Linked DNA regions of Lytechinus pictus. The protein of the gene in region 1 purifies or fractionates together with the protein of each later gene. This does not show direct contact. Links are inferred from orthologs where the notes say so. Each region holds a gene or a part of one and is shown in the gene's direction. Other genes may lie near its edges.

Region 1 (11,182 bases):
AGAAGATTATGGAAGATATTTCTGACATACTAGTAATTATCAAGGCACTCGATTATTTGTTTTATATGCATGTTGGTTTACATTATTTTTATCCCTAATGATGATAATGTTAATGATAATAGAATTCACGATAATAGTGATGATAATGAGGGCAATGATGATGGTAATAATGACAACGATGATTAAAATAATAATGGCAACTAGATTAACAATAAAAAATATTGATGGTAAATATAACAATGATATTATTGGGAAAAAATGATGATAACGAATATACTAATAATAACAGTAACTAGTATTATGAATTATATAGTGTTAACATTTGTTAATAGCACCAATCCAATATGTTTTATCCTAGATAATACTTAATGACAAGTATTTTTATTACTTTGACACCAAGTACGACTGAACATATTATTTCATAATTATGAAGGAATTAAATAGACAATGAGCAAAAAATCCTTGAGTCAAAACGAAAATTATTTGCGACCATTGCATAAAATATAAAAAATGATGACAACACAAAATTCAACCCTCATGGTGAATAAAAAACATTGTGCATATACTTACAAGAAGAGGGAGAAAATTAAATACGAATGGATATGACTCTGAACAGAGAGCGGTCAAATTTTAAAACTTTGAATCATTATTGTCATCCTTAATGATTCTAAAACTCCTTTCGTGCAGGCAGGTTAAGAGCCGACATTGTAGAACATTCTTAGCCAAATTGCCTCAGTTTGATAATGACCCATCATTCGAGTTTTCTGTTGACCATTCCGCTGGTCGGTAATGTTATGCTGCAGAAAGATAGAAGCTCTTCGATGATTAGCTGCTCATACACGTACAGCCCAATCACACGGTGAATGGCGTTACACCGTTGCTGATTGGATAATTCTTGATAGTGCAGGAAATGTGGTTGGTGGTGTTTTGATTGCAATAGCCCGAAACACTACGACTAGACCCTGTGACCACTGATCTCTCTCCACTAACATCAGTGCCTGTGACGCATTGAAAACGAAGGTAAAGTAAAAGGACATTCCCCGTTTTTAAAGACAATCCAGATATAGATGATTGTAAACACTAATTTGGTTGGCGTAAACTTGTCGTAGACCTATTCTTCTTTCATTTACAGTAATTAAATCACTTTCTCTTTATTCTTACTTCTCTCTTTTATGACTTTATCTCAATTCATTATTTAGAAAACATCATTTTTGAAAAATTACAAAAATCACTTTTTTATTTCCATTCTGATCATATCAACCAGGTTTTTTTTTTTAATGATCTTTAAGGCGCTTAGATTTCTAAAAGTTTTGTCAAGGTAACGAAATCGCCTATATAGTCCCATACGCCCGGTACACACTACACGATCCAAAACGACTCTTTTTTTATTTACAAGTCGCATTTTCGCATTAATATGAAATTTCATGAAGAAAAACTATATTATATTTCGCAATTAGGTGCAATCAAAGGAATGATTAAATCGGAATTCTACTTGGTTGCAAACATTGTGGTCGGAGTAAAGTCTAGTTCAGCTTCAACTCGCATCCGATGATGACGTCAAGTTAATACGACTTGCAATTGAACTTTAATTCTACACAGAGGCTCGAAATATAGGCTTGATTTTCGATTCAATTATTCATCCCAATATTTTGGATTTGATCGTTTTAATAGGTGGAATTTTCATTTAAAATGCTTTTACAATTTATTTGAAATTAGGTCGCAATTAATGAATGGTACTATGTACTGGGCTCTACATTTGAGCACTGACATAGTGATTTGTGATTGGGGGCTACTGCTCAATATTTTCCTAAGATCATTTTCGGGTATACTCAAATATTATAATTTGCATTTACAGGTCCAATCCCCATATAAATCGTTGGATGCCTTAATACTTTTAAAGGAACCTTTTGAGGGAAATATATACAAGATGGCCTTCCTAAATACATAAGGTGATAATACACGCACTGGCGGATCCAGGGGGGGGCAATTAAGAATTAAAATGTAAAAATGCCATTAAAACAGAGGTGTGCCCCCTCTTTTGAAATTGAAGACCTTTTTTTGCTTGTAAATTTTTTTTTCGGGTGCTAAATATTCTCAAAATTTTCCTCCGAAAAATTTGCCCCCCCCCCTTGAAAAATCCTGGATCCGCCCCTGGGTTCACGTAATCGGTATTTGAACTTGATGAAGGTACTAATTATAAACAAATAGAAATATCTAACTTGAACATAATTATCATCGTTTTTGTATCTGAATCATTGTCACATCCTAATCGTGTTTACTCAACCGTACTAGGATCGGTCACGTAGTCTTACGTTGCAATTAATTAAGGGAACAAATTAATGACTCGTTTGTTTCTAAAATTAATCACGTCTTCTTTTTCTTTGGAAATATCAGTGCACTTGTAACTTTACTGACCAACCAAACCGGAAGGAATAGATTTAGTCACATCCGACAAGTTGAATATCGTCCGGGAGAAGACACGCAAACTGTATAGCCTATACCACTATACCAGGGACGGGACGGTACCCACTAGCGTACCTACGGGGGGGGGGGCAGAGGGGGCAGACTGCCCCCCTGACGAGTCAAAACCCATGCAAGGGACGTATCCCTGCCCCCCCCCCCCTGACGAGTCAAAACTGATCCCTGGCCCGCTCCTTTGAACTCGAAGACCCTTTTTTTTTTTTTTTTTTTTGCTTGTCAATTTTTTTGCTGGTACGAAATCCCTTTATTTGTGGTTGAAGACCTTTTTTTTTTTGCTTGTCAAATTTTTTGGCGGACGAATTTGCCCCCCCCCCTGTGGAAAATCCTAGGTACGCCACTGACGGTACCATATAGGGGCAGGCGTTCAACCCCCCCCCCCCCCCGATTAAAAAAAGGAATTAAAATAAATAACAGAAGAGAAAATATGTGACCAACTTATATGTTGAACATAATCATTTAACAGTCGGACAAAAAAAAAACCTTAACCAATAGGGATTAGACAAGTTTTTTGGGCTTAACGCTCAAACTTTTGGTCGAAACTGTGACCAACTAAAATTATTCATCTATGGTCAAAATTGCCCAATGAATGTGTTATTTATAACTAAAAGTTTGCCGAACAAAACAAGAGACACGAAACTTTTCTGCAGCATAAAGTAGACATAATTATATATAACAAAAAAATCCATAAATTTTAATCCGAAAAAGAAATAAAGTTACATTTATGTCAACCTTGTTCCCCATATCAAAATACACAGGCGTTGCCAATGCACATAACAAGTCAACAGTCTCAGTCACAAAGTTCTAATGTAAATTCATCAAGGATTGGTTGGAGACACATACACTAGTACATGAGTAGGCTACCCTATAATATTTATCAATTACACTTTATGCATGGTTTCATTAAAGTAAATAAATGAATGAATGAATGATTATAGATGAATGAAATGAGTATTGTTTTCAGTCAATAATGATTGAAGAAATGAATAACAAGTACAGTTAAGGGATAGACCTTCATGACCGTACACCAAGTTTTTTAGTGGGGGGGGGGGGCATGACGCATATTTAAAAAAAAACTCGAAAGCGAGGGAGTGAAGTCTTGTCATGGAGGCGCTTGTCATTTTTTTTTATAATACCTAAGGTTTGCGAGCACACTTTGACAAATTTTGTGAAAATTTTCAGTAAAAGTGTAACACTTAATTGTCCACCCCCATCACCGCCCCCTGCGCGCTGGGTTCGGCCATCATAAATATGTACGAAAGATTGTGTAAATGGTATAGTAGGCCTACTAAATGAATTAAGAGATCAATTAATGATCTATTATTGTTCTAAATCAATTCAATCAAAATCACTGATTAACAGACATGACATTGTTATCGATGAGGAAATAGTTGGAGAGCATTTAAAATAATGAACGACATGAAGTGCGTAGAATCAAAAAGATATTGTTGAAGTAAAATATTCATTCACATGAATCATCTGATTCTGATCACTTTAGAACATTATATTTACTTTAGAAAATTATTTTATCTCCAAAAATTCCATAGATTTCTTTAACAGATACTATTCAATACGAAGCAGTGGGCCCTATTCTACACAAGTTTCCCGAGATTTCTTAAACAAATACTATTATGAAGCAGTATACATCATGAATTGGTGCTATCATGGGAAGACGTCAATTTTTTATTTTTCAAACACGAAAATTTTCAGTTATAAATTTTACTTTACTTTCGAGTTCCTTTTGTAAGGATAGGCTTTGCATTAGATATTTTTTATTCATTTCAATTTTGATAGTTCATGGAGAATGAATGGTGTATTTTTTCATAGAAGCAAACCACGCGGGGTACTTGTGTCACACAAATCACTTTTTCATGAAAACAAAATACTAAAGGTCATTGACTTTTATATATATATAACATTGGTATATTCATGTATCATTTATCTAAAGACGAATTACCAGAAAATTTTTCACAAATGTTAAAAAAAATCAATCATATCACACATATCCTACGCGTCAGAGTATACCATCTTACTCTAACTCGAACAATTTTTACACAAAAACACAATAATATTCACAAGACCAAAATACATACCGTACTCTTCCGCCAGATATAACAGGATGCACATTTATTTTAAAAACAACTTATTATTTCTTGAACCTGCTTTTTCTTCATTGTCTTGATCTCCATGATTAGTAAGTCATATACCTCGTATTTTTTTCTGTTGTCTTTTGTTTTGTATTTGTTTTGTCTTTTTTGGGCTCTTTCTCTGGTTACAACTGTATTTCTCTTGCTGTATACCAGCTGAGCAATATGCACATTGTGATGTGACAGTAATAATTATATCAGATATGATTTTACTAATTTATGTACATACATGTAGGGCCTATATACGGGTGTACGTACTTGCCATGTCATGGAAAGATATATCTATTCACCGTATGTTGATAATTTGTAATGCCTTGACCACTTCAATTTCATATCTTTAAATATTTTTCTTTCATTTGTTCTGTATTTAATTGAAAATTCCAATCTGCATATTTAAGGTCATGAAATAATTATCCGTCTTCCACTATTAATTACAACTTATCTCACCGGGGCCTGCAATTTTTTACAAGCCTTGCTTTCATGTATGTCCGATCATATTTCTTTGACTTACGGGCCTAAGCTTCTATATACCTTAACTGGACTGATTGCATCATTATACTATGCTATTGTATGTCTTCTCAGTTGTTTATAATTTAATAGTTTTGCATTATTGTTGCTACTTTTTATGTGAATCAGATGTAAAGGAGAAATATGAAAATGAAATTAATAAACGAAATGAAAAGAATGAAAAGAAATAGTCAAATATTTAATTGCACGAGGAGTCTTATTATAAATGATCTCAGTGGTGGACAATAATGCGATCTTTTTTTAAAGAAAAAAAAGTATAATTTAATATGGAAATACGTGTGTAAATCTTTTTCACGTGTGGAATTAGCAGCTATACGCGTTATCGAGTGGAGATCGTGCAGCTCACATTTTAATGACACTTTTAGTGATCTCTCCAAATCATATTATTTTCATCCCGGAGCTAGACCTATCATGCCTATACTCCTTTAAGGGTATGATTTCAGATTTAGAGACAACATCGGCCCTGCACCTTTTGAGTGCCCCCGAGGGTTAAACAAGAGGTGATCTAGAACTATAATAGCATATAGACCTATATGGATGATCAGAAAAAGGATGGATGATGGTGATCAGAACCGGATCAGAATTCAAACCACTATATAGGGCTTTGAAACTTATCTCATATCCAAATAAAGAGGAATATGAATTATTTGCAAAGTAGGAATTTTTCATCCAAAGATGTTTGCCACTATTTTCTTTCTGGGCCGATATAGCATTATTAAGTAAAAAACAGGAGCTTCACCACTCTCAAAAAATAACTTGAGTGGCCAGGGGGCGAGGGGTCTCTCGTCCTCCCCCCCCCCCCCCCCCCCCCTTGCGACGTCGACCCTGGATATACGGTACCGGATCGCGATTCAGAGCTAGCTAGCTATATATATAGCTCTGTTGTATGCGCACATATGTATGGCTATGCATGGTCAGTAACATGGCAGCTTCATGGATAAACTCTTGTCGTCTGGCTCTGTCACGTGCAAATAGTATTATGAGATTAAAGAGAGGAATATCTTCAAGAAACTTCATCTCCAGCTCACCATGCACATACTCTAGGAGACAAAACATGAAATCAGTCTTGTCGAATTGGTCATGCACTAAAAAATCGTATGATGGACAACGAAGCAGGATGATCATCGTCACAGAGCGTTTGTATTGCTCTTCTGCGAAACGCTGTTGGAACTGCAACGACGAACTCTCCCGGTCTGAGACGTCCAGTGGAGGACCTCGCGTCGCTGCTCTGTTCTGTGCCTCGTGCAGTATGATCCAGCCGCTGGAGGACGGATTGAACCACTTTCAGATCATGGGAATGTAATGCTTCTTTTGCTTCAGAAAACATTTTAATAAGATGTTCAGTTTAAATAAGAGAATGATCAGGTGCTAAATTGATGGGAAGAGATTGATATTCAGATATCGGGCATATTATCATGATTATTTGAGATGAAGAAGGCTTGAACTGGGATCGAAATATTAATGCCACAAATGGCACAGGAGATGCCCCGGAGGGGGGGGGGGGGGTGCTCGACCAAAAAATTGGTAGGTATGTGCCACAGCGAGACAAAAAACGGGCTTTGGAGCCTCGCATGCGATGTTTTGAAATCGGCAGCAAATAATTATACGTGTGAGGACCTTCAATTCATGTTGGCTCTAAATCACGAATTTTGAGACTGATAGAAGCATGGCAAAGCCAAAGAAGTGAAACTTTGTGTATAGTAAGAATATTAGTTTTAATTGTTTTTAAAGATCGTGATGTTGCATGAATTTTATATTTCCCCCCATAAAATCCCACCTTTGTCACTCGGAATATCAGATAGAGTTCACGGTATCGATGTTCGGGCAGGTGGAGTGTAGTGTAGCGGTAGTCAGGTAGTGAAGTGGAGTGGTGCCTGCACGAACATCGCCCTATACGGGCATAAGTGCATGCAGCTAACCCGCTGGCATGGGATATGGGCGCCAGGTGCGCTTGCGCAGAGGCGATGGTCGGACAGCTCTGTGCGGCTGCTTTTCACCAAAATTGCAACTCATTGTCGCAGATCAATGTGGCCGAACAGCATAACGAAAAATATGCAAAGCTTTGGAACGAATTTCTTCTTTTTTCTCGATAAGAAGAAAGTGATATGCTTTGGAGCGGCTTTCTTTGTTCCTTTCCTCAATGTAAAAATGGGGGTCCTCTCTGTGGCACGTACCCGCCACGCATTATATACTGAGTGAGTGCCTTTCTTTTTTTGCTTCCCCGTTAGTCTGGATTTAGAGAGCTTCACACTTTATCCCAAAGAGGAAAGTCTACAGGAAGAAGAATCCTTTAAGTTTTCTTCTCGTTATATGTAAAATTGTTTTTTTTTTTTAAGTTTGAAATTTTGAATGAATGTTAATTGTTGCACTGAATTCATTTGGTACTTGTTTAGGGAGGAGAAGTTTGATGTTGAAGTTCAAGACCTGACCAACTGCTTTAGAAACCTTCAGAGGTTGCTTCACCCAGACAAATTCAGCAATAAATCAGAGGTAAAAAAGAAAAGCCATTCAGTGTTCTCTATAAAACCATTGTATTTGGGTATTGTTTTTGTGGTAATTTTTATATGGGGGGGGGGGGGGGCTCCAAGAGCAAAAGTGAATTTATGTAGGCCTATACAATAATATAGCAATGCACCTTGCTCACTGAAAAAATGAAAGTCACTTGAAGTTAAGTGCTCTGATGTTAAATTCATGTAAAGGTGGTGATTTCAAATACATTCAAATGGGATTGTGAGATGCATTATTTTGGTTGTCAGGGCAAAGTCGGTTGAGTTCAGGATTATATGTCATCATCAGACTTGGGCAAAATGGTCTCTTTGCCATGGAATATCCCATTGCATCTGGATACTGATTGGGTATTGTTTCAATGGAAGTTGACAGCGGATGGTAAAGATGCCATGACAGTAGTAACTTAAATTTGACAGGACCCAGCACTTTGTAGAAAGTGCATGCACACTGAATACATTCCAGCAATCTGTGCCCAAAATTATTTCAAATCATGCATAGATAGAGTGCATAATAACTGTTCAGGTAATATTATTTCTTACTACACATAATTAATGATTTGTGTAGAATCTCCTTCAAATACACAAACAATTTCATGTTCACTTTTCCAAGAACTTACCGTGTTGAGACTCCTTAAAACTGTAATTCAATTTGCAGAGACTTTGGAGAAGCAGGGTCAAGAACTTATCCTTTCATTTATTCTCACACAGACAGAACAGAACTACTCCGCTGCCCAGTCATCGGCTGTGAATCGAGCTTACAAGGTGCTTCTCAAACCACTTTCTAGAGGCCTCTACTTGGTAATTAACTAAATTAAGTGTTTTCTTTTTCTATGATACAAAGGGTGTTAATTGCAATATCATGAAGTTGTGTTTGTTTTACTGATAGAAAATGAACATGTTGGTCAAACGTTCATGATAAAGTCTTTGGGTGGTATTTATAAGCTAATCCGGGTTAAGTCCATGATAAGCCTAGGTCCGCTCTTCTTTGAAATGCTAGGTTTCATATTTATTCAATATTTCTTAAGATTAATAGCCTTGTAAACATTTACTGGAGTTCATTTAATATTTATAATTTCCTTGTTTAATTGCATAATCATTTTAACGCACAAGAGTGAAAAGGTTTTGAACAGGTTTGGCTCTCCACTCTTTCAGCAACACAGAGAGCAACATGCTTGTTCTATACCTGCTCATTGATATGTCAGTCATGCTCAAATTCAGAGAACAAGTTGGCTTCAATTCTTTTTAATCACTTGCCCCATGTCTTTGGAATAAGTTCCAATTTGATGCAACATTACCTTGATCTATTGAAAATGTTTTGAAACAGTCATATATGATAAATCTTAAGTCACTTAACATTGTAAGCAGCAGTTTGTGTCCTTTGGAAAAGGTGCTAGATAAATCCAGTTTATTATGTTTCTTTGATACACAGCTTGAGCTCAGAGGGTTTTCAATAGAAGAAGGAGAGAGTAATATAGAACCGTTATTCCTCATGGAGGTGATGGAAATCAATGAAGAGCTAGCCGATACTGATGATCTTGAAACTGTCAAACGAATAGGAAAAGAAAATACAGGTAAGTTTAATCATAAGGAGTGGGACTCTGTAGAAAAGAGCACTTTGTAAATATTTGGTTGATTTCGTTCTGCTTGAAATGAGTGTGTATAATGGTTATTTAGTGCATGTTAAAGTGTTTTAAAAAGGTGAAATTTAGACTGCACTAAAATGAGCAATGCACAAAGGCACAGCAAAGTTTGCTTGTCAATGTATTAATGTGAGAATTGTTTTATTTTAGCACCAACTTTTATTAGCAATCGTCCATCTGATTGGAGGAATTGGTGCCAACATACCCAGACAAGTTGTATAAAAGTATGATTTCCAATTCAGGAATCACTTTTCACGTACATACTTATATTTGCCTCTTCTTTTTCAGTGAGTTTGAACGACCATCTGGATAAACTCAGAGTGGCTTTTGATGAAGGTGAGATTAATAAATGTAATGCATATGAAAAGATTTCGTTATATTGATATTGTTTCATTTGATCATGATTTCATTAATTCATTCTTTTCATGGAATATTCTATATCACCCATAAGTGGACTTTAGACAAGCAGAAATGGGTATACTATGCTTCCATAATACATCCGACGATGATGGTGTCAGCATCTTAACCGAAGTAAAAAAATTTGAAATTTCATCATAATTTAAAAATTTTAAGGGCCTATTTCATGGAACTTGGACATATAATCAGGTATCACTGATCATTTGGCAGGAGTTTCAGGTCACATGATTAAGGTAAATATCAGGGCTACCCAAGGTTAAGAATGAATACTTATTTTCAAGATTATTATGAATATATGAACTTAAATATAATGGTTATAAACAAGCTTTTTATTAACCGGGCGCCAGGCGCAATTTTGCTCCCGGTTCAAAGGGTTTTGCGCCTGGCTCCTTCGAAAACTAGTATGCCCGGGCGCCAGAAAAAAATCACAAATGGGAGCCGTTACACTACGGCGAAAATGCCCAGTTGACCCCGCCGTATACATGCACTGTGCTGCACACCCCAGCTACAAAGTTTGGTTCTGTAACTTTGCCCAAAGGACTGTAAAATTTCACATTTTACACCAATGAAATCTCTTATTATGCCCATGTTTCCTAAAAAATGGTGCAACTCTTTCATTTGTAAGTAATCAAAAAAGAAATTATTACTCCTTTCTTGGCCCCAAACGATCGGGTTTCGGGTGACATCGTCCGCATCAACACACACTAAAACACATGTGGAGCTGATTAAGTTGGTTTCTTACGAAACTCGATCTAGGTATCAGTTTGAGCCAAAATGAAACATGTTTTTTTTTTCTTTTCTTTCTTTCCTTCCATCTTTCTTTCAATCAATGCTTCCATCAATCCTTTCTTTCTTTTTTTCTTTCTTTCTTCATCCTTTCATTAGGTCATTAATCTTCCTTTCCTCGGTTGGATCGCTCTAATTATTTCTTTCCTAATTTCTTCCATCCTTTCACTTTTACTCTTTCCATTTTCCTTTCCCTCTTTTCATCTTCTTTTCCCATTCGTTCAATTTTCTTCCTTGTCTGTTTCTCCTTCCTTTCATCCATACTTTCCCATCCCGTAATTCTTCTTTCTATTATTTCTTTTCCCCCCTTTCCTCCTTCCATCCTTCCTTTATTTTTCCCCTTTTCTCTCCTTTCTTTTATTTTTTTGTTTCTTTTTCTTTCTTTCATTTTCTTGCTTTACTTGGATTTCCTTCCCTCCTTTCTTTCCTTTTTCCTTTCTTTCTTTGCCTGTTATTCATTTAATTTTTTTCTTTTTTGCTTAGACTCTTTTTCACTTTCATCTTACTTTTTATTTCCTTCATTCTTATTCATTTCCCCCTTCCTTTCATCCCTTCTTCCATCCATTCTTTCTGTTTTATACTTTAACTTTACTTCCTTTTTTTTCTTCTCTTTCTTTCTACCTGTTTTTGTCTCACCTGCATAGCAGAGTGAGACTATAGGCGCCGCTTTTCTGGCGGC
Region 2 (11,105 bases), on another chromosome or scaffold:
AACGTCAAATATTCTCATATTCACGATGTTAATTATATCGCAAATAATCCAGCTTATAGAAAGAAATGTCATGCACATCGCAATGCAGCATCAATATCTTTGATAATGTCAAAACGTGGAGAGGCATTTATAAGGTTATGTCATCATGTGATGTAAGGAAGGCAAAACTTCTATTCTCATTCTCATACATATTACCATTATCTGTATGACTATAACATTACAACAATAATATATAGTATATAGAAATATTTATTTTTGTTTACAATTGACACATTCATTCACTATTCGAGATTAATCTGACTTTCATTTAACAAATCGAAAATTAATTATTACTCACAAAACAATATGACATTACGGTCCAGATGTATGGAAATTTACCCTAAAAATATTAAACAAGCTTCCATCCCTTTTATCCCTCAAAACTTCGTTTAAGAGAGGTACCTTTCATTATTATAAAATTATCACCTACACCCGCACCAGCATTCTCACACTTCATATTGCCCCCTCTCTTTCTTTGTTTATATTTAAATTCAATTTGTTTTATTTCATTTTCAACATAACAAAGTAAAGTGGTCGTATATTATTACAGTGATATTTGCAAATGACACTTATTATACAAGCAATATAAATTGTGGTGAATACGACATATATATATATATTTTTAAGTATTATAAGTATTTTTTTTTAAAGTATTATTTTCAAGTATTATAAGCAAAGTTATCAGAAACATTATACAAATCTGAGAAAATGGAGGGATCCACAAAAAAAGCAAAAATGCTTTTAGTGTGTGGCCCCTCTGAATAGGAGTGACATCGCGTTTAAATTAGTGACCCTTGTATTTTTGCTCTCGTTTTTTTTTTTTTTTGGGGGGGGAGGGTTCATGTAACCCATTTCGTCTGGCTTCTATTCATTTTAAACCTTTGGCTTCCGATAGCTGGCCATTGCATTGAAATTAGTTAATTGTGCTTGTTTATAAAACGAATTATGTCTCCTCTACTATAATGCAAATTTCAATATCAATCAGATATGACTATTTACGTCTGGGACCGTTCTTTAACATCACTATCCGGAAGACGTGACCAGGGCTCGAACCTCGAACCTCTTCAGCATCAGTTCTTAAGGCTTCCCACTGTAGCTTACAGGCGTATAGGCCTACGCCACAACGCCAATTTGTTTTCAAACAATCGGGGTTAAATTGATAGAGGGGGCTATTCTGATAGGTTGCATGGTTCAGGACCCTTAATGCCTAATAGGTCCTGCAGGAAACTATTGCATGGCCCTACCGGGGGGGGGGGGGGGATACGACAAACCCCCCCCCCCCCCACACACACACACACACTCGCACACTAATTTGGATATCGTCGGTAAATCAGCGCCGCTGTCGGGAAAAATGAAAAAAAAGGCGAAAAGAAAAAAAGAAGGGAGAAAGAGAAAAGAAAAAAGGAAAGAAAAGAAAGAGAAAAAGAAATAAAGGAAGGACGGAAGAAAGAAAGTAAGAAAGAAAGAAAGGGACAAAGAGGAAAACAAAAGGAAGGAGAAAAACAGAGAGAGAGAGAGAGAGAGAGGAGAGAATGGGGTAGACAAAGTTTTGATTAGGTTAACTTGTGTGTCGGTTGCTTAAAGATGCGGGGTCTGAGATGTTGCACTAACGCTTGTCGGGGAAAATGACAAACTGTCGGGTCACGCAGGCCTGTTCCAACAGCAGACTGCTCCATATTTGTTCTTGCTTGGTCTTTCAGTTCCATTATCTTTGTCGGTAAAATAATGTCAAATTGACATATTATCGTGGGTAGCCTCCTGTATAGGCTATCGACAATGATTAGAAAAAGTCTTAATCTAAAAAAAAATCAGCTCGCGCTTCGCGCTCGAATGATTGATATATTTAGTGATAATTTTGCCGAAAATTTTGCTTAAACTTCCCTCAGATATCTAAAATTTCCGCTCGCTCTCCGCGCTCGCATTAAGATACACATATTGTTAAATTGCATATGCCACATCTGAGTTTGTTCTTTATATAAAAAAAAAACGTGTGAAAATGTTGAGTTTTCAAATCAAAACATCAAAAGTTGCTTAGTTCTATGCCTACATTCTTCATGGTTACATTGATTCGAAAGTTCTGTTTTTAGTTCTAAATCTGAAGAAAACATTAGCTCGCGCTTCGTGCTTGTTTACTGTGTTCTTTAATAAAAATATGTTTAACCAGTCTAGTTTTCAGGTCCAAAATCTATAAAAAAAAAAATAATAAAAAAAAATCGGCTCGCGCTTTGCGCTCGCTTTATTTGATTAGTGAGAAATGTATTACATTAATGAGTCACTGCAAATAGTTGATTAACATGTCATTTCCAGTAAGGTTAATGAAAAGTATCAGCTCGCATTAATTGTTATATACGCATATTGTTTATGTAAAAACTGCTTATGTCCAGTTTTCCGGTCGAAAAAAAAATCGGCTCGCGCTTCGCGCCCGCATCATTTGTTTGGTTAATATCCACCCTCTGCATGGTTACAATCGAGTTTTCAGGTCGGAATATAATTTTTTTGCAGCTCGCGCTTTCCACTCGCTCTATATTTGATTAGTGAGAAATGTATTCTATTAATGATTCCCTTTTTGTCAGGGCAGTTAATTAAAAGTTTCAGCTCTCCATAGCTTGAATTGTTTAGTTACATTATGCGTATTGTTACAAAAAGTGCTTACTAAATGTCGGAAATAAAAAATTTCAGCTCGCGCTTCGCAATCGCATCAATTATTGTTTGGTTATTATATCCATCATTTTTATGGTTACAATCGAGTTTTCAGGTCGAAATACAAAATGATCTAGCTAGCGCTTCAACCGCGTAGCCATGCAGTATTTAATTTTGGAGGGGGCGGTAAGTGCACGCGAAGCGTGCCACCGTGCCAACACTTACAGAGCGCGCGAAGAGCGCTCCCTAGGGTGCAGGGAGGGGGAGTTTCCCGCGCGGAGCGCGAAGTTTTTGATATCTCATCAAATTCAAATCAAAAGAAGGCGTCTCTAGTATACCCTTATCAACTCGAATATTGACTTGCTTTGATTAAAAAAAATTGTTTTCGAAAGAAATTATGAGCTCTCCAAAAAATGGGAAAAAATTGGAGAATTTGAAATAATTTCTCTTTCCGCGCAAAGCGCGGAAGCTTAAAACGTTTTAAAAGAGAGAGAGAAGAAATGATACAATTATGCCTATCTTGGTCACATCAGATTTGAGTGTAAAAAGTATATCCACATTAAATTTCGTTAACTCAAGTCGCAAAACAGAGTAGAAAATTGGTATATACATAAAAAATAGACCCTATTCCTTCCCGCGAATGGCGTTGAATCTCTGATTTTTGGAAATTTATCTGAAACTTTAACCTGTTCTAAGTTTGATATATCTTAGAATATATATAACTCAATTAAGAAGAAAAACGAGCTCAAAATGTGAAAGGGATGATGCAAGCTAGAAGAGGAACTTTTCCCTTGCTCGCGAAGCACGGCTGAAACCTCTGTGATTTATTTTGGAAGAAAAATTGTTTCGCTCATATTAAGGGCCTCTTTTTTTTTTATCAAGAAGCTTCAGTGATATTCAAAATTTCAAATCAATGACGCAAAATAAGACAGGAGATGGATGTGCAGCGATATAGAATAAAGTTTGATATCGTAAACACTATTGCAACTAGCATGGCACGAATTTATTTCCTCTCCCTTTGAGCAGACACTTTGCCAAAAATTACTTGCTGAAAAGCGGAAGAAAAAGCACTTGGGGACTCGGGAATGAAAGTAATGTTTACCCGCTCCGAACAGAAGAGCCAACATTTTGTATCAATGCAATATTAAAAAAAAACACTTTTCATACTCTTTACACCCATGTATACTTAATAATTTCTGGCAAGAACATACAATTCCCACGGCCGGGAAGGGGAAACATAGAGTAGAAAAAAGATGTGGGAAACAAAAGAGAATGGCAATTTTGATATTTTTCTCGCGCGAAGCGCGGAAGCAAATTTATAGCATGAAGAGAGAAGATTACGTCTCGTTTATGTTGTTATTCTTTTGACCAAAAAGAAGGAAAAAACAACAAGAGCTATACCTTTGTTCCCTTTTCTCCTTTCGCTTTTTCTTTTTCTCCTTTTCCTCTTATTTTTTTCTTTCTGGGAGCGTTTTGAGGGGGGCGACCGCCCCCACCGCCCCCTGGCTACGCGCCTGTAGCGCTTCGCGCTCGAATGTTTGGATTGAGAACAGTCTTTAACAGGATCTTTATGCTGCATGGCCAGTATTAAAAATTTCAGCTCGCGGCGCTTTGCGCTCCCATGGATCGTTTTCTAAATACCCCCCGACCATGATGATTTCAAAAGCTGCCCACAGTGTTCAATTTTCAGGGCTAAATAGGCCTATATATAAAATATCCAAAAATTTGAGCTCGCGCTTCGCGCTCGCATGGTAATTTAGATTCAGGCCACATGAAATACCTTATGTAATTTATGTTGCTTCTAAAAATGAAAATTTAGTTAGGACTAACCCCTTAAAAAAAAAAGAAAGAAAGAAAATAAGATTTTGGCCGCCGCGACGGGAAAAAGTGGATGAAATCGCCCCCCGCCCATTGAAGAAAGCTGCAACTGATCCTGGGTATGACGAAAGACTGGCTGAGGAGAATGAAGAACACCTCCAAGATTCATGGTCGCCGGACGTCGGTAATCGCTACCGATATATTTTTTTGTAATCAGGGCCTCCACATCCCCCCACTGGAAAAAGGCTTATAAAGACGCCCCTGCACGCACCCCCACTGGAAATCACGTTGACGAGCAACAGAATAAATGAATGAAGTCCTATTGGTCCCAAATGACGGATATATGGAAGCAATAACCTTTTCTTCTTTTTTTTTCCTTGTCAATTTGACAAGAAAAAAAAAGAAGAAAAAAAATAACAAGACAGTAAAAAATAAAAATAAAAATAAAAAAATAATTCACTGCCAAATCTTTATAATTTGGCAGTGAATTTTTTTTTACTTTTATTTTTATTTTTTACTGTCTTGTTATTTTTTTTCTGACGAAAACCTCCAGCGCCCCTATTAAAGAGGGAACCAACTGAACACTTTATTTCTTATATATAGCTTCTATCGATAGGAGAAGCGCTGTATCGCTTTATATCGACCCTGGATCCACCTCTGATACGTTGACTCTGTACCTCTGACATGTCGGACGTTTTATCCGACAAGTCCCATTTTATCCGACAGTTACCATTACCTTAGGCCTCCTTTTTTGTAAATGGCGAGCCCGAAATATTTGGTACGTGGCCAGGTATAGGCAGCTAGGCCATTTTTAACGTACGTTTGATTTTAAAACGTTCAATTGAAATCAACGTTAAGCTTACTCAATTCAACCTACTTCTTCTTTTTGAACTCTATGAAACTCGCGGTTCCAGGATTGCTCTTGAAGGGATGGTGCGGGCTGAAAATATTTATATCTAAATAAATAGAGTAAAATTCACAAAGCAAAATGCTGAAAATTTCATCAAAATCGGATAACAAATAACGAAGTTAATGAATTTTAAATTTTTTCAATATTTTGTGAAACCAGTTGTAAGCACATCGTCAGGTGGGCTGATGATGTCACATCCACACTTTCCTTTTTCTTATATTATTACATGAAATCATAATTGTTTAATTTTTTCATACATGTGTAAATAATATGTGTCTCCATATAAGTTGCGTCAATAGATAACTAATGCACTTAATCAGTTGTCTTGCAATCCAATTGGTTTAGTTCTTGGTAGAATTTTTTTGAAAGAAACCTTACTGAATAAAATACAAAAGAACAAGTGGGGATATGACATCATCAGCCCACAAAATGAATATTCATGAAGACATGCCTAGAACTGTTTCACCGGAATGATGCAAATCTTTAAAATTCAATAACTTCGTTATTTTGTTATCAGATTTTGATCAAATAATTTTCAGCATTTTGCTCTGTGAATTTTACTCTATTCATTTAAGATATAAATATTTTCAGCCCGGACCATCCCTTTAAAAGTATCATATGGTAGTTCCCCCCCCCTCATCCGGGGTGTTCATGTTCACTCATGTAAGAGCATATAGTTTTTCCCCCGAAAACTTGACAAGCCCAAATGATAACAGCTTTTCTCTCCCCAGGCAATCCACTTTAAGCCAGCAAAAAAAGTTGTTTCTCACAAATGAAAAGTTCCTCCTTTTTAGTTGGGGCAAATTTTACGGGGTGCGCACAGAACTCCCCCCCCCCCCCCCCCGTCTCCACCAGGCCCAGGATGATTCGTTGTTATTAGTCTATGTTCAGTGCATGGTTCTACATAACATGGAAAAGGCAGCAGAGCAATAGAATCCCAGTGCAGTCAAGAAATTAACCTTTTTCCAGACAATTTCATGGTAGTTATAATGATACACTGTACTTCACGTACCGCATTATCTTGTGAACTAGTACAAAACGCCTCGTTTTACGTCTATTTTCTTACCCTCTTTTGTAACGTAAATCGGCCGGTGATATAACGCTCAGAAAATACACCAACGATTACCTGTGAAATCGAATGCGAAATGGCGACTGTACTTCGAAATTCATTATCTCTGCTTCAGAGACAAAATATATCACAATCATGTCAGGTAAGCTTTGTTATATTTTATCTCATTTAATTTGATACTGAAATGCCTTATTATCAATCCTGTTATGAGTTGGAATATCGCTTTTTATTTTTGTTAGAACTGTCTTGGTCTTGGATATGGATACCGGCAATACCGGTACCGTAGGCCTACTGTTATGTCACAAGCGATTCCGATGCACACAATGCGAATGGGGGTATCACGATTCTGTGATACAGTAATATGGATTGCGCAGCGCAGGAGTTAACTCACTGATTGAATCTAAAGCAATTTATTGTGTTAGCATTGCCATTGCCATTGGCATTAGTGAGAGTGGTAAAATTAACCAAAGTAGACATGGTAGACAGTCGCAGTAGGCTAACATTGTAACCTCTGTTAGATTCATACTTTCCAAAGAAGACATCAAGGCTCCATGTACAAGACAAACCGTGGATGACACCAGCCATCAAATCCTTGATTTCAGAGCGGCAAACCGCTTTTGCTCAAAACGATATTCCAAGATGGCATCAGCTGAGGAACAAGGTGAAACGACAGATTGTACTTTCCAAAGCTGATTACTACGTCAACCGGGTTCAGAAGATGAAGAAGTCAAATCCATCGAAATGGTATAGACACATCAAGATAATGACAAGTGGTCAGGTGAAGTCACCAAAGATTGATATCCCTAGTACTGATCCCTGTGACCTGAGGAGCTGTGCAGAAGAGATCAATAGGTTCTTCACTGACATAGCAAAGGACATCCCAAAGTTGAACACATCTACTTTGCCATCTTATCTCCCTGCAAGCAAACTCCTTCCCTTTGTACAACCGTATCAGGTCTACAGAGAGCTGAAGAACATCAAACAGAGTAAGGCTCCCGGTCCAGATGGGATCCCAGCTAGAGTGATAAACCTCTTCGCCTACGAGTTATGCATACCACTTTGCGATATCTTGAATTCTTCTTTTCAGCAAGCAGTGGTGCCTGAGTGCTGGAAACGGGCTTGCGTTGTTCCAGTGCCCAAAGTCCCGCAGCCCACTATTGAAAACCTACGACCTGTATCACTGACAGATCATTTTTCAAAAGTAGCTGAGAAGTTTGTTGCTAATTGGGCTCTAAAAGACATGGAAGGGTCCATCGACAAAGCTCAGTTTGGAAATAGAAAGGGTATGTCAACATCGCACTATCTGATTGATCTCCTCAATGTAATACATGCTAATGTTGACAAACCGAAATCAATATGTACCCTATTGGCCACTGATTTCTCCAAGGCCTTCGATCGGATTGACCACAACCTGGCTCTATCAAAGCTCTTAGACATGAATGTTCAACCAGCATTGGTTGCATGGATATGCAACTTCTTGAAAGACCGGCAACAGTGTGTTAAGTACAGATCAGTAGTCTCAGGATGGAAGAACATACAAGCTGGTGCCCCGCAAGGAACTCGTTTAGGCCCGCTTATTTTCCTCTGCTTGATCAATGATGCATGCCAACAGAGTCCTAATCTACATTGGAAATACGTAGATGATCTCTCGATACTAGAAAACAGGAAAACGAGCGACCCTGCCACCATCCAGAAGAGTGCGGATGAGCTTCAGCAGTGGTCTAAAGATAACAACATGAAACTCAACCCGAGTAAATGTGCTGTCATGCACATAAGTTTCATGAGAACAAGTCCACCAAATCCCACTGTTGAACTCGAAGGGCAGGAACTATCTGAAGTCCAGTTCATGAAACTACTTGGAGTTTGCATTCAGAAAGATTTGAAATGGACATATCATGTCAATGAGATCACCAAGCGCGCAAGCATGAGGCTTCATATGTTGCGCATCCTCAAGGGATTCAAACTACCCCTTGATGATTTGAAGGTAATTTATTCCTCCTATGTTCGTCCAGCATTAGAGTACTGTGCACCAGTTTGGCACTCTGGACTTGACGCATCACAGAGAAAACAAATTGAGAGGATACAAAAACGCGCATTCCGCCTCATGCTTGGGCCTGCTTACCAAGATTATGACCATGCACTAGAAGTGCTCAACCTATCTACTCTTGATAAGCGGAGAGAAGGACTATGTATGAGACTAGCAAAGGGCGTGAGTCTTCATTCCTCCCCCTTTCACGACTGGCTACCTCCAACTCGTGAGGCGGTCCACAAACGTTCACTACGTCACAGCAATATGTACACTGAAATACGCTGTAGAACAGAACGCCGTCGCAAAAGCGCTGTCCCATACATGGTCCGACTACTCAACAATCAATCGAATATGTAATTAATTTAAAAAACTATGATTAATTAAAACATGCCTTTTCAGTTAATACATGATACGACATCTCAACAAGCAATCAATGTGTTAACAATATCCAAATTATGCAAATAGATTTTAAACAAAACGATATTAATATGCTATCGTCTAATATGATAATATTATTATTGTTATTATTATGTTTTCGTTTACTTTAAATTCTGGTTACGATTCTTTGTAGCAAAATGATAACAATAATAAAGCTTACATATTTGTGCTCAATATTACTTTTACCACATCTAGCATTGCTTGTTTTCAATGGGCATACTTGTTTTTTCCCCATCTTGGTATAATCGTTTAATATGCTAATTCCATGTTTATACATGTACAACCAGAAATTGTTTAATCAATCATTAGATTTATGATATCTCTTATTTCCTTGTAAGCCAGGTGAAATGCACCTATCTCATTGACAAAATCCCTTTAAGCAGTTTTACCAACCTTATCGTCATTTTCCCCCTTATTCCGGCACTAGTTATATTTCATCTTCAATTCTTTAAAGAAATGCCATTTGTTTATAATTTCTGTTACTTATTTCATTCATGCAAGCTTATGAATTACTGACTTTATCCCCACAGAATCATACTGTTGTTACAACTATCCAAGATTACTTTTATCCCATGTATAAAATTATTCTACTCTTCTCCTTTCTTAAATTTCAACATATAACATTTATTTTATTACTTTTACATGTCATTTTGTTATAGTCACTGTTATTGTATATATTTTGTATTTTACCTTGTACAGAATTTCGCAATTCAGCCTTCGGCTGCGATGAAGTTTTCTTAATAAACCATTTCAATTACAATTACAATTACAACATTAATTTAGACGAGTCTTAAATTTCTTGGCTTGCACTGCAGCCATCATGCAATATGCTGTTTATGCAGACATTGGAAGAAATTTTTTAAACAGTCGTTCGTTGGCCGTCTTTCCAGACTAACTTTCATGACTTTAGAAAAGTGGAAGAAGATGATTTGACATGGTTGAGATGATGAAGGAACGTGTGTAACATCTAACATATTAAGAAAGAAGGAATTTCGGAATCTTTGAGAACTAGACTAGAGTCTAGAAAAAAGAAAGGAAGGCAGCTGGCAGCAGGGGATATAATGTTAGGCCAAAAGCTTCGGTCTCTGTTATGTTGGTTGTTCCGCTGAACTACGTTGGCTCCACTCACCAAATACAGAGACAGAAGTTCTAGCGCGATCTGTACAGGGGACTCGATGGCCATATGTTTATGTACTTAAGTTCGGATAAAATGGGGGAGTGAAGTTGCGCGACAGCCGAAGTAAGTCACTGTTTTCCCCTTTTAAGTTTATTTTTCCTCGTTTTGGTGCATTTCAGGCCAAAACAGTATAATAATCTCTATTTTGGTTCAATTCTTTTTCAATATTTTTATGAAATAAAGACAAAAATCGATGTGCCCCATCCGGAGGATTTTGCATTGTAAGTCCCCTAATGGTGGCTGCACGATAGCGAGCCGTCTGTGTACGAGGAGAAATAAAAAAATAAAAAAATGCTGAAAAACTCCTCGAAACAGACGGCTGCCAGCTGTCTACAGGGGATGGTGACTTCAGTCATGTCAGTCAATAATTGGCAGTGACATTTTTTCAGGACAAAAATTGAAAGGATTGGGGAAAGGGGTGGGGCAGAAAATACATTCTATCACATGGCATCTTGTTCATTTATTGTAATGATATAGAGCTCTACATAGTCTACATGTAGGTCTTTGAGGTAAATTTACAAATTAAATTTGAAATATACTCTTGGGGAAAATATGTTTTAAAAGCATTTTAACATTTAGTTTATGAAGAAAAAAAAGAAAGGAGGAGGACCTTTGGTTTTTTTTAAAGGGTGGACCACAGCATGCACTCCTATTGTATTTATTCCAAATAACTTGCTTCTCTTTTTTCCCCCAAAATGATCGATCGCTGTTTGAAAAAATATATATTCACCAGTTGGACTTGAAAATATTTGAAAATCATGAAAATCATTGAATAATTCTTTCCCTGAAAAAAAATCATGAAATAAAAATTTTTACAGATTTTACACAAGTTTACAAAGAGAATTTTTCTTTTAAATGAATGAAAAATAGGATTAAAAGAAAGGAAGCATACATGAAACGATTAGCATAAAGCATACTATTTGTACTATGGCCATATTCATAGACCTTGGCTTGTATCAATGTACAGTATGTAGTGTACATACTA

The links.
Region 2: the proteins of iron-sulfur cluster co-chaperone protein HscB-like (region 1) and succinate dehydrogenase [ubiquinone] iron-sulfur subunit, mitochondrial-like purify together in Homo sapiens (co-immunoprecipitation; 3 studies listed by BioGRID and IntAct, with this or other methods). This does not show direct contact. The link is inferred for Lytechinus pictus from reciprocal best matches to the Homo sapiens genes HSCB and SDHB.

Annotation. Positions count from the first base shown.
Region 1 is NC_087246.1:19,726,735-19,737,916, forward strand, and holds the start of iron-sulfur cluster co-chaperone protein HscB-like, read left to right. Parts: upstream 1-6,052; 5' UTR 6,053-6,063; coding exon 6,064-6,452; intron 6,453-7,546; coding exon 7,547-7,643; intron 7,644-8,368; coding exon 8,369-8,458; intron 8,459-9,089; coding exon 9,090-9,231; intron 9,232-9,588; coding exon 9,589-9,636; intron 9,637-11,182.
Region 2 is NC_087258.1:20,282,908-20,294,012, reverse strand, and holds the start of succinate dehydrogenase [ubiquinone] iron-sulfur subunit, mitochondrial-like, read left to right. Parts: upstream 1-6,276; 5' UTR 6,277-6,552; coding exon 6,553-6,618; intron 6,619-11,105. UniProt on the Homo sapiens protein: Iron-sulfur protein (IP) subunit of the succinate dehydrogenase complex (mitochondrial respiratory chain complex II), responsible for transferring electrons from succinate to ubiquinone (coenzyme Q).